3 linked regions of the Saccharomyces cerevisiae S288C genome follow. The gene in region 1 interacts genetically with each later gene. Each region holds a gene or a part of one and is shown in the gene's direction. Other genes may lie near its edges.

Evidence for each region. Genes that interact genetically often act in the same process or in processes that back each other up.
Region 2: mutations in TMA64 (region 1) and TMA20 together harm fitness more than expected from each alone (negative genetic interaction), as found in Saccharomyces cerevisiae (3 studies listed by BioGRID, with this or other methods).
Region 3: mutations in TMA64 (region 1) and CDC27 together harm fitness more than expected from each alone (negative genetic interaction), as found in Saccharomyces cerevisiae (2 studies listed by BioGRID).

The regions. Positions count from the first base shown.
Region 1 is NC_001136.10:683,446-687,632, reverse strand, and holds TMA64 (Tma64p), read left to right. Parts: upstream 1-1,989; coding exon 1,990-3,687; downstream 3,688-4,187. Other genes in the region: APC4 (anaphase promoting complex subunit 4), read right to left, coding at 1-1,751; mitochondrial 54S ribosomal protein uL1m MRPL1, read left to right, coding at 4,052-4,187.
Region 2 is NC_001137.3:165,413-168,399, reverse strand, and holds TMA20 (translation machinery-associated protein 20), read left to right. Parts: upstream 1-1,514; coding exon 1,515-1,525; intron 1,526-1,628; coding exon 1,629-2,163; downstream 2,164-2,987. Other genes in the region: GTP-Rho binding exocyst subunit SEC3, read left to right, coding at 1-592; PAC2 (Pac2p), read right to left, coding at 2,317-2,987. UniProt on the Saccharomyces cerevisiae protein: Involved in translation.
Region 3 is NC_001134.8:66,345-71,078, reverse strand, and holds CDC27 (anaphase promoting complex subunit CDC27), read left to right. Parts: upstream 1-1,633; coding exon 1,634-3,910; downstream 3,911-4,734. Other genes in the region: ALG3 (dolichyl-P-Man:Man(5)GlcNAc(2)-PP-dolichol alpha-1,3-mannosyltransferase), read left to right, coding at 1-1,328; BOI1 (Boi1p), read right to left, coding at 4,261-4,734. UniProt on the Saccharomyces cerevisiae protein: Component of the anaphase promoting complex/cyclosome (APC/C), a cell cycle-regulated E3 ubiquitin-protein ligase complex that controls progression through mitosis and the G1 phase of the cell cycle.

The DNA.
Region 1 (4,187 bases):
CCAATATCCCGAAGCAAGCTATGGACCCTATTCGGCACAAACCTTGTACTGCTCAACCTATAGCTCTTGAATAGCGCCGGAATCTTGACTGACGATTCCTTTGATATAATGCCTAAATTCTCATCTTTCAGAGTACCTATATATAGTTTCTTTTTGTTTTCTTCTGAGAAAGGTTCTTGAGCACTGTTGTGTTTTGTTACCTGAATAAGGTAGACTATGTAATTATGCTTTGGTAATTTTATGGCATCAAGCAAATTTATTTGCGAAGATGGATATTTTTGCGCAAAAACATCCGTTTTTAAATCAACCAGAATATGCTGTTGAATATGAGAATTAACATTACTTTGTGCAATATCTTTTTCCATATCAGACATGCTGTTAATTAGGTCTCTATAAAGTTTCACGTCGATTATTGAGCTAGGTTCCGTACCTTTTTTAGATAAGATTCTGTCAAAGTAACTTAGTAAATCGTATCCAAAGTAAAGATCATCCTCAAATTGAAATTTCAGTTTATAATCTTCATCTAGCGCTTCATGAAGTCTGTCGTTGAACCATATGAAAAACTTCTCAAAAAGTGTTTCGTCCCTCCCCAAGCCTATTATTGAATTTAATGTCATAGTTAACAATTTCTGTGAACTTTTTAGGAGCACTTCAACAGCTGTCAAATCTGACGTATAACTGAGCTTATTCTGTATAGAAAAGGCTTGTAATATTGCCCTTAACTTCTCCACATAAATAATGATTCTTTCACATGCGGGTACAAATATTAAAGTTAAAATCTGAACAGTTTTTTGGTAAGCTTCACAACCTAAATACTTCCACCTTTTAAAGTTCTTCTCACCTACTGAATTGCAAAGCCAGTCTTCCAAGTCACATGAGATCTCTCCAAGTAAAAAGAGGGCTTCTAATTCCGATTTGAGTTTGCCATATCCGTAGGCTTCATCACACAATCTTTTGACGAAATCTAAATAAGGTGTTGCCAGTTCCCGGTTAATGAACTCGAGATGAGTAAGCATATAACCTATAAGCTCTTTTATTACCATTATATAATTCAGCAGGTTCACTGATGATTTGCTCTGTAATAAAGGTCCTAAATTTAAAGTTTGTACAGTTCCATCCTCATAGAAGCACTGGTAAAAGCCATCTTGAACTTTGATAATTGATTTTAAAGAATTTTCGTTTTCAATATTATCCACCGACAAGAAAACAGCGTAATCACCATTAAAAAAAACTGTAATTTTATCATTTCCCTCATTGAATACTACGTGAACGTCTAGTTTTTCATTACTATCTAGATCATCCTCATCAGGACCTCTCCACAAGCTATTCGGTTGAGTGTAAGGGACAATGTTTATCCTTTTGGAGTCCTTTACAAACCTTATTAGCTTTGGTAAATCATCAATGATGTTACATGCAAAATCTCGATTATTTGGTTCGTATCTTAATGGAATTCGGTCCCATATACCTTTTGATATTTTTGTACTCGGAATTCTTAGGAATGAAACTAATCGACCGTCTTTAAAAATGTCATGGATTCTGATCGTCCCATCCTTAAAAAAGATGGACAAAAATTTACCAGTAGTTGTATCCCAATCGTAATTCGCCACCAAGTTTATATTTCTTATTGGAATTACTGCAAGCCTAGCGTGATCCGAGACTCTGTAAATAGCAAGGCCTTTCGCAATTCTTGTAGCAAAGATTGGAAAAAGAGGGTTATAATCAATGAAATAATCATTAATAGGAGACGACATTTCGTCTTGAGTCGTTTACGCGTGTTCAACAGAACCCTAGGTCACGTCTTCTGATAAATCGAATTGAACGCATTCTGTGCTCCATTTTGTTATGCTTGGTTAAACTTAGGCGCTAGCTACGGAAAACAAAAATGTAAACCTAAAAAACCGTGAAATAACACATATGCGTCAAAATTAACACATGAGTCTACTGAATAACCGACTCAATAGATTAGTGTAGCGCAGGATTAGTACAGCTATGTTTAAGAAGGAGCCTCACATAAAAGCTTTAAGTAATTTGAAGAATTCCGAAAGAAAGAAGTTGCTACAAACATTCCAAAAACAAACGAATAATGAGGAATATAGCTTTCGTACTTCCACTATAAAACAAACCAACTTTAACGGCCAGAAAAGTGTAGGAACGGTTTACACAGATGAGAATAATACCCCAATATTATTCAAGGAAAAGCATAAGGAGCAACTTTTTCCAACTGTGTATTCTTGTTGGGAATATCCTGCGTTATTGCCGATCGTTTTAACTCATGGATTTGTTATAGAAGAACATTTATTCAACGGCGCTAACTTAATGATTTCCGGTTCGATCCCACCCTTTGATCCTCGTTGTAAAATAGGTACTCTTTGTGGTATAGCTAGCAAACAGGCACCAGAAACTGTCTTAGCCATCGGTATTGTCGAATTAGATCTACCGTCCTTTGATAAAGTAATTGGTGAAACAGGAGTTGCTGTCAAAATCATACATCATTTCAATGATGGGCTCTCCAAAGTCTTTAAAATGAAATTGGAACCTCCATTTGTTCTCAGTACTCAATCAAAGGATAACAATATCAGTAGTAAACAGATAGAATCCTCGGAGCAAATCAAGGCTGTTGAAAAGGAACAAGAAGATGTAAAAGAAGCGTCTGTTGATGTAGAGGAGATTGCTGAAGTTCTAGACCATTTCACTGTGTCGGATGTAGATTATTTCATTACAAGAGCATTATATTATACCTTGACTCAAGATAAAGGTTTGGAATTACCCATTTCAGCTTCTAACTTCATCTCAAACCACATTATGCGTAATTTGCCTCCAATTGATCACAATGAAGTCAATGTAAAGAAAACTTCATGGAAAAAAAGCGCAAAATTTTTGAAACACTTCGAGAAAGAAGGCTTCTTGAAATTAAAAGGAAAGGGGGATGACTTAACTATTGTGGGCAAAAATACTGACAAGGATGAGTTAAAGAACTTTGTGCCATATAAGCTTGGTTGTAGCAAGTCTGCCACAGAAAGTAGGGAGAGCACAACCTCGAAGGAGAAAACATCTGGAATGATGTATTCACTGACTCTGTATAAACCCTTTAATCTTGCCAAAGATCTTTTGAAGGAGGTTAATTTGGCTTCTCACACGTACTACACCTCTCAGGACATTAGAAGCGCGGTTTCTCAGTATATTTCTGTCAAGAACCTAGCAGACACAAAAGATAAAGGAAAAGTTATTATGGACGATCTATTATTCGATATGGTCAATAAGAAGAAGAAAGTCTTGAATGCTTCACGTATCATTGCTAGAGGTGAAATTTTGCATCCCTTACTCACCAATAATTTTACCGAGTTCTATCAGATATTCAAAAGCGATGATACTCTCTTGTTCAAGGCGCCAATGAAGGGTTCCCTTCCGCATATTAAGATTATTACTGAAATGAAAATTGGCAGAAAAGTTATTACCAGAGTGAGCAATTTTGAAGTGTTTCAAGTCGACCCAGAATCACTTGCGGCTGACTTAAGAAAGATTTGTAGCGGATCGACAACAATAAGTGAATCACAAACATTCAAATGTGCTGAAGTGCAGGTTCAAGGTCCACACGGTCAATCGATCATTGATCACCTTAACAAGCTAGGTATTCCAAGCAAATGGATAGACTTTGAGAACAAGTTGAAGAAGAAAAAAAGAAAGTAGATTTATATCATATAAATGTTTAAATGCGTAAAAATGCCCGACATCAAAGCATATAGAACTTTTTTACCTAATCGAAGCTTTTCTAAAGTAGGTATTATGGTAGTCTTGAAACCCACAAAAAATATGAATGTATCATGGGAGGGAACGAAATGTTTTCAACAGCGGTAAAAATATACTATATTTGTATATCCAGTTCATCTTTACTATTCTCTATTTTTTAGTGTAACTTACATTATGAGACTAGCGACAAAATCTCCTTTTTAAGCGAAAAGAGAAAACTTTCGAAAAACCAAAGTATTTTGAAAAACGACCTGAAATAAAGGGAATTTGAAGAAAACTAAACAGTGATAAGTCATCAAAGAAGATGCTATCCGTAGTAGCGATCCCGAAAATATGTGTCACAGGTCCTGCAAGAAGATGCTTTTTTCATACTGCAAAAAAACTATACGCAGATGACTATAAACCAGCAGCTATGTCCTCCAATGCACCTTCGCTAACAA
Region 2 (2,987 bases), on another chromosome or scaffold:
TTCAAGCATTAATCCAAACCTTTCAGATACTGCTGCTTTAAATAATGACTATATGGAAACTATTTCTCTCCTAGTGAACAGTAACTGGCTAACTGAAATGCTTTCCATGTTAAACTTCAATAAGGATGGTATATTTGATACGTCATTGCAAAACGTTAAGAAAGTTTTCGATGTGGAAAAAGAATCTTATGCTTCCTTTCTACTCCGCGATACTATGCCTAAACTAACAGCCTTTGTTTATGGTGTGAGCAACATCATTGAAAATACCAACAATGTGAACATGACCAATCCTTCAAGATGGGCCGCATATAGCAGGCAGAACCTAGAGAACATTCTTTTAGCATACACTTCCCATGAAATTGAAACTCTAGTAAAAAGGCTGCACACTCATATGGTAAATGACTTCGGTTACCACCAAGAAAATGCCATAAACAACGTCCTATGCGATAAGTTGTGGTCGTGCATTCAAGGTCAAACCGTCTCACTATACTTGAAACTATACACTGTAATTGATAAACACTATAGAGGGACAAACATACGCTTCACGAAGAACGATATCATAAGTGCGTTCGAGGAATACAAGAATGCCTAAGTAACCTCTGCATTGTCGCTTCATATTACATATTTAGACTAATTAAGTAAATATTTTGATAAATTTCAATTTCAAATATCGTGTAAAATGATATATTAGTTTTCGAATTTTTTTTTCTGAATATAAAAGGAACAGAATATTAGTTAGCTTCATTGTCCAATTACTATTGTTACTTACGTTTAATGCATTTTCTTTTCTTTCACTTCCTTCCTTAATACTCCATCCTTATGCACGGGAAATACGCATATCAGTGAGGATTCGTCCGAGATTGTGTTTTTGCTGGTTGAAATTTAATTATAAACCAGACCGTCTCCTCATGGTCAATTCGGTGTTCGCTTTTGAATACTTCAAGACTATGTAGGGAATTTTTGGAATACCTTTTTTCATTACCGATATTCATTCTTTCAAAGGGACTGTTTATTTTTCTTTGGAAGTAATATCAAAAAATAGGTTAGGGATACCGGACTGAAACATTCAATTGAGGGCCCAACCATATTTTTCTTTTCTTTTTCACCGAATTCTCTAATGTGAGTTCACGTTATAGAAGCTGGAATTGTAAGTAATACAGAAATGGCAACTAAAATGGTAGGCATGAGTGTTCTCCTTCTTGTGTGTCTTTCTTTTCACCCGATACAGTAAACTTTGTATAGGAGAGTTGACCAATTACCTGACAGTGCCGTCTATAAACGAGACCTCAACTTCACCTCAAAAACCATAATTTTATCTATTGATAATTATCATTATGGTCATTTTCCACTAAATTCATAGTTACCTTACTCTTATGCTTTGTATTTGTAGGTGTAAAAATGACGAAAAATTTAATTATCTGAAAAATTATTGTGTGAAAAAACTTGATTTTGCTATAACCTTATGTAAAACCATATAAAAGACAAAGACGGTAAACTAAAACAGCAGAGAGGAAATGTTTAAGAAGTATGTCTAACATGAGAATGAATATTGCGTAATTCACTGGTTTTACCAGGGGTTAGTGTACACTTTTGACTCAGTAAGCAATTACTAACATCATCATCGATAGATTCACAAGAGAAGATGTCCATTCACGTTCAAAGGTCAAATCTTCAATTCAAAGAACGTTAAAGGCCAAATTGGTCAAGCAGTACCCCAAAATAGAAGATGTTATTGATGAATTAATTCCTAAGAAGAGTCAAATCGAGTTGATTAAATGTGAAGATAAGATCCAATTGTATTCCGTCGATGGTGAAGTTCTTTTTTTTCAAAAATTCGATGAACTGATTCCAAGCCTGAAATTAGTACACAAATTTCCAGAGGCTTATCCCACTGTTCAGGTTGATAGAGGTGCTATTAAATTCGTTCTCTCAGGTGCTAATATCATGTGCCCTGGCCTAACTTCTGCGGGTGCCGACTTACCACCTGCTCCTGGTTACGAGAAAGGTACGATTGTAGTCATCAATGCCGAAAATAAAGAGAATGCATTGGCTATTGGTGAATTGATGATGGGTACTGAAGAAATTAAATCAGTGAACAAAGGTCATTCCATAGAATTGATTCACCATTTGGGCGACCCCTTATGGAACTTCAGCGTTGAGTAACAAACGGAGCCGTCAACACTATATTACTATCCATCTGCTACATAATAAAATAAAGAAACTAAGAAAAAATTAGAATAACATCCGCTTACAATCTAAAAGGCTGTTTCCTGATTTTTAAATATGCAACTAGCCAAGATTAACTATATACTGTGATTACGATGGGCTGTTAACCTTCTGAATGCTCTTGTTATTTACTGGAGACGAAACATGAATAATATCTCCGTTCACAACATTAAAATCTGAAATGGGGCGAAAATTATACTTTATTTCGTTTATCATCCCTTCAGAATTTTCATGAAATAACTTAACATTCAGTATGTCAAAGTTTAGCTTTCGACATATTACACTCTTAACGTACCTTACTGTAAAACTGGGAAGGACCCAATAATCTAAATCACTACTCGGCTTCTTGCCAGCTCTTATCTTTATTTTTAAGACAAGAGATTGCCGTGTTTCTCTTTCATTGTTGAAACTTAGCTTACTCATATCGATTTCATACGACTTTATGAGGCTTGACCAACGCGGCAGATTGGTGTCATAGCTCAATTCGTTATTCATTACCTTGGAAACAAAAAACATCTCAGCCTCTCTTCTTGTTTTTACATCACATATTGATCCATTCAATACCATCACACGATCAAACCTAGCCAGTACTTCATAAAAAGTAGCCTGTTCTTCGACGTTAATATAATTTCCGTTGTAGTTGAATTCGTTGCCACTCAGATGGATATTTTTCAAAGAGGGAAATGTCTTATTCAAATCATCTATCAAACTTCTTTCCTTAAATTTGTTATCTGTTATATCCAAGGATTCAACAGAATAAA
Region 3 (4,734 bases), on another chromosome or scaffold:
AATTTGTCAGACCTCCGCTGGATCTGTGGCAGGATCTCAAGGACGGTGTGCGCTACGTGATCTTCGATTGTAGGGCCAATCTTATCGTTATGCCCCTTTTGATTTTGTTCGAAAGCATGCTGTGCAAGATTATCATTAAGAAGGTAGCTTACACAGAGATCGATTACAAGGCGTACATGGAGCAGATCGAGATGATTCAGCTCGATGGCATGCTGGACTACTCTCAGGTGAGTGGTGGAACGGGCCCGCTGGTGTATCCAGCAGGCCACGTCTTGATCTACAAGATGATGTACTGGCTAACAGAGGGAATGGACCACGTTGAGCGCGGGCAAGTGTTTTTCAGATACTTGTATCTCCTTACACTGGCGTTACAAATGGCGTGTTACTACCTTTTACATCTACCACCGTGGTGTGTGGTCTTGGCGTGCCTCTCTAAAAGATTGCACTCTATTTACGTGCTACGGTTATTCAATGATTGCTTCACTACTTTGTTTATGGTCGTCACGGTTTTGGGGGCTATCGTGGCCAGCAGGTGCCATCAGCGCCCCAAATTAAAGAAGTCCCTTGCGCTGGTGATCTCCGCAACATACAGTATGGCTGTGAGCATTAAGATGAATGCGCTGTTGTATTTCCCTGCAATGATGATTTCTCTATTCATCCTTAATGACGCGAACGTAATCCTTACTTTGTTGGATCTCGTTGCGATGATTGCATGGCAAGTCGCAGTTGCAGTGCCCTTCCTGCGCAGCTTTCCGCAACAGTACCTGCATTGCGCTTTTAATTTCGGCAGGAAGTTTATGTACCAATGGAGTATCAATTGGCAAATGATGGATGAAGAGGCTTTCAATGATAAGAGGTTCCACTTGGCCCTTTTAATCAGCCACCTGATAGCGCTCACCACACTGTTCGTCACAAGATACCCTCGCATCCTGCCCGATTTATGGTCTTCCCTGTGCCATCCGCTGAGGAAAAATGCAGTGCTCAATGCCAATCCCGCCAAGACTATTCCATTCGTTCTAATCGCATCCAACTTCATCGGCGTCCTATTTTCAAGGTCCCTCCACTACCAGTTTCTATCCTGGTATCACTGGACTTTGCCTATACTGATCTTTTGGTCGGGAATGCCCTTCTTCGTTGGTCCCATTTGGTACGTCTTGCACGAGTGGTGCTGGAATTCCTATCCACCAAACTCACAAGCAAGCACGCTATTGTTGGCATTGAATACTGTTCTGTTGCTTCTATTGGCCTTGACGCAGCTATCTGGTTCGGTCGCCCTCGCCAAAAGCCATCTTCGTACCACCAGCTCTATGGAAAAAAAGCTCAACTGAAACAGATGTATAAATATCATATAATCGTATTGTTTTAAATCATTTCTTTATACCATCTATATAGTACTACTAGTATTTAATGGTGCCGTTATTACCCGCGCTTGATTTTCCTTTTTTTTTTTGATCAAAAGGATGGAACAGGCTGAAAGTAAACCAAAAGGATCAAAGTGCAAGCAAAGGTGCCACAGAAAAGTTTATCAAAAAACCATACCTAGCTGTGAGAGTTTTAGACTCTGTTTTGGTGACTGCATATCTATTCATAAATCGACACGAACTTTTCGTGCAGGATACATAATAAAAATAGCATGGCGGTAAATCCTGAGTTAGCACCGTTCACCCTCTCGAGAGGAATCCCCAGCTTTGATGATCAAGCTTTGAGCACCATCATACAGCTTCAGGACTGCATTCAGCAGGCTATTCAGCAGTTGAACTACAGTACCGCAGAGTTTTTGGCCGAACTGCTCTATGCTGAATGCTCCATTCTCGATAAATCAAGTGTTTACTGGTCCGATGCGGTATATTTATATGCACTTTCGCTGTTTCTGAATAAAAGCTACCACACTGCGTTCCAGATATCCAAAGAATTCAAGGAGTATCATCTTGGTATCGCTTACATATTCGGGCGTTGTGCTTTACAGCTTTCGCAGGGAGTTAACGAAGCTATCCTCACTCTTCTCTCAATAATAAATGTATTTTCTTCGAACAGCAGTAATACGCGCATAAATATGGTGTTGAATTCTAATCTCGTCCATATTCCCGATTTGGCCACTTTGAATTGCCTGTTAGGCAATCTTTATATGAAACTGGACCATTCTAAGGAGGGAGCATTTTATCATTCTGAAGCATTAGCCATTAATCCTTACCTTTGGGAATCTTACGAAGCGATTTGTAAAATGAGAGCTACCGTGGATCTCAAGAGGGTTTTTTTCGACATTGCAGGGAAAAAAAGTAATAGTCATAATAATAATGCAGCTTCATCGTTTCCGTCTACATCACTATCGCATTTCGAACCTCGTTCACAACCTAGCTTATATTCAAAAACAAACAAAAACGGCAATAATAATATCAATAATAATGTTAATACACTGTTTCAGTCGTCTAATTCTCCCCCTTCTACATCGGCATCTTCTTTTTCTTCCATTCAGCATTTCTCAAGGTCACAGCAGCAACAAGCGAACACATCAATAAGGACCTGCCAGAACAAAAATACTCAAACTCCTAAAAACCCTGCAATCAACAGTAAGACGTCTTCTGCGCTACCAAATAACATTTCCATGAACTTAGTGTCTCCATCCTCCAAACAGCCTACAATAAGCTCGTTGGCCAAAGTTTATAACAGAAACAAACTTTTAACGACTCCTCCATCGAAACTGTTAAATAACGATAGGAACCACCAAAATAACAATAATAATAATAATAATAATAATAATAATAATAATAATAATAATAATAATAATAATAATAATAACATTATAAATAAAACAACTTTCAAAACTCCAAGAAACCTATATTCCTCAACAGGAAGGTTAACAACTTCCAAGAAAAATCCAAGGTCTTTAATAATCAGTAACTCAATACTAACGAGTGATTATTCAATTACGCTGCCTGAAATCATGTATAATTTCGCTTTAATATTAAGGTCGTCATCACAATACAATTCGTTCAAGGCAATAAGACTGTTCGAGTCTCAAATCCCATCTCATATTAAAGACACAATGCCATGGTGTCTAGTGCAATTAGGAAAACTTCATTTTGAGATCATTAATTATGATATGTCCTTAAAGTATTTCAATAGATTGAAAGACCTACAACCGGCAAGGGTAAAAGATATGGAAATTTTTTCTACTTTGCTGTGGCATTTGCATGACAAGGTTAAATCTTCAAATTTGGCAAATGGGCTAATGGATACAATGCCTAATAAGCCCGAAACATGGTGTTGTATAGGTAATTTGCTATCATTGCAAAAGGATCATGATGCCGCAATAAAAGCCTTCGAAAAAGCTACTCAGTTAGACCCAAATTTTGCATACGCGTATACTTTGCAAGGTCATGAACATTCTTCCAACGATTCTTCGGATTCTGCCAAGACATGCTATAGAAAGGCGCTAGCTTGTGATCCTCAGCATTACAATGCATATTACGGATTGGGTACGAGCGCTATGAAATTAGGTCAATATGAAGAAGCGTTGTTATATTTTGAAAAGGCAAGGTCAATTAATCCCGTCAATGTTGTGTTAATCTGTTGTTGCGGTGGTTCTTTAGAAAAGCTGGGCTATAAGGAAAAGGCTCTACAATATTATGAACTAGCATGTCATTTGCAACCGACTTCCTCGCTATCCAAATATAAGATGGGCCAGTTGCTCTATTCCATGACAAGATATAATGTTGCTTTGCAAACTTTTGAAGAATTGGTGAAACTCGTTCCTGATGATGCCACAGCCCATTATTTGCTGGGTCAAACATATAGAATAGTTGGGAGGAAAAAAGATGCAATCAAGGAGCTAACTGTTGCTATGAATTTGGATCCAAAGGGTAACCAAGTTATCATCGATGAATTACAAAAATGTCATATGCAAGAATAAACGCAGGTTGGCCAAAACATAACAAATTGAAACATGTTAAATGTTTTCATAATTCTTTTTGTTCTTCGTTGTTTCATATTTATTTTTAAGTTAATGTAATAGTAATAGTTAATAATAATAACGTTAATGGTAACAATAATAATAATATATATATCCAGTAATTTGAAAGAAGAGGACATCATGTCTGCGGTTCCTGCGATGTACTTCTTGATAGTATCAGTGTCTAATTTGATTGTATTAATTCGTAAACTTTTTATTTTTATATACTTTATATCACTATATTATGTTCTATTAAATATTAATTATTAAGGTGTTTAAGTTGGTCAAGAAGTAACTAATGATTGCAGTTCTCAAAGTCTGCCACCAGGGTATTCAAATGCTGAACTTTCCAGGTAATCGCTGGTCTCAAATTGATCTTGTTCGATTGGATAATTAGAATTTCTTTTATTTTGGGTGTCATCCCATCCAAATTGATCTCTTCCCTCTTCCTCTTCAGCATCTCTTAACTGGGTTTGTAACCTAGCTTCTTCCAATAGCGTCTGTGCCTTGCTTAGAGGTATCGTTGGTGTGGCATATGAACTAATGACAGGGACGCTTGTATCAATATCAATAGTGGCCTTTATTATGGCTGACAGCCATGCCTTCATTTCAGATTTATTCTCAACTGCAAAATAGTGAACGCGAGGTTCTGTAAAGGTTAGCCCCTTTTTGGACCCCGGTTGCGGAGGGACCAATTTGAAACAGTATTTTCCTTTTCCTAAGCTCGCAGCGTATAAGGAAATGAGCCTATCATCATCACTGGCAGGTAAGACCCTATGTGCCGT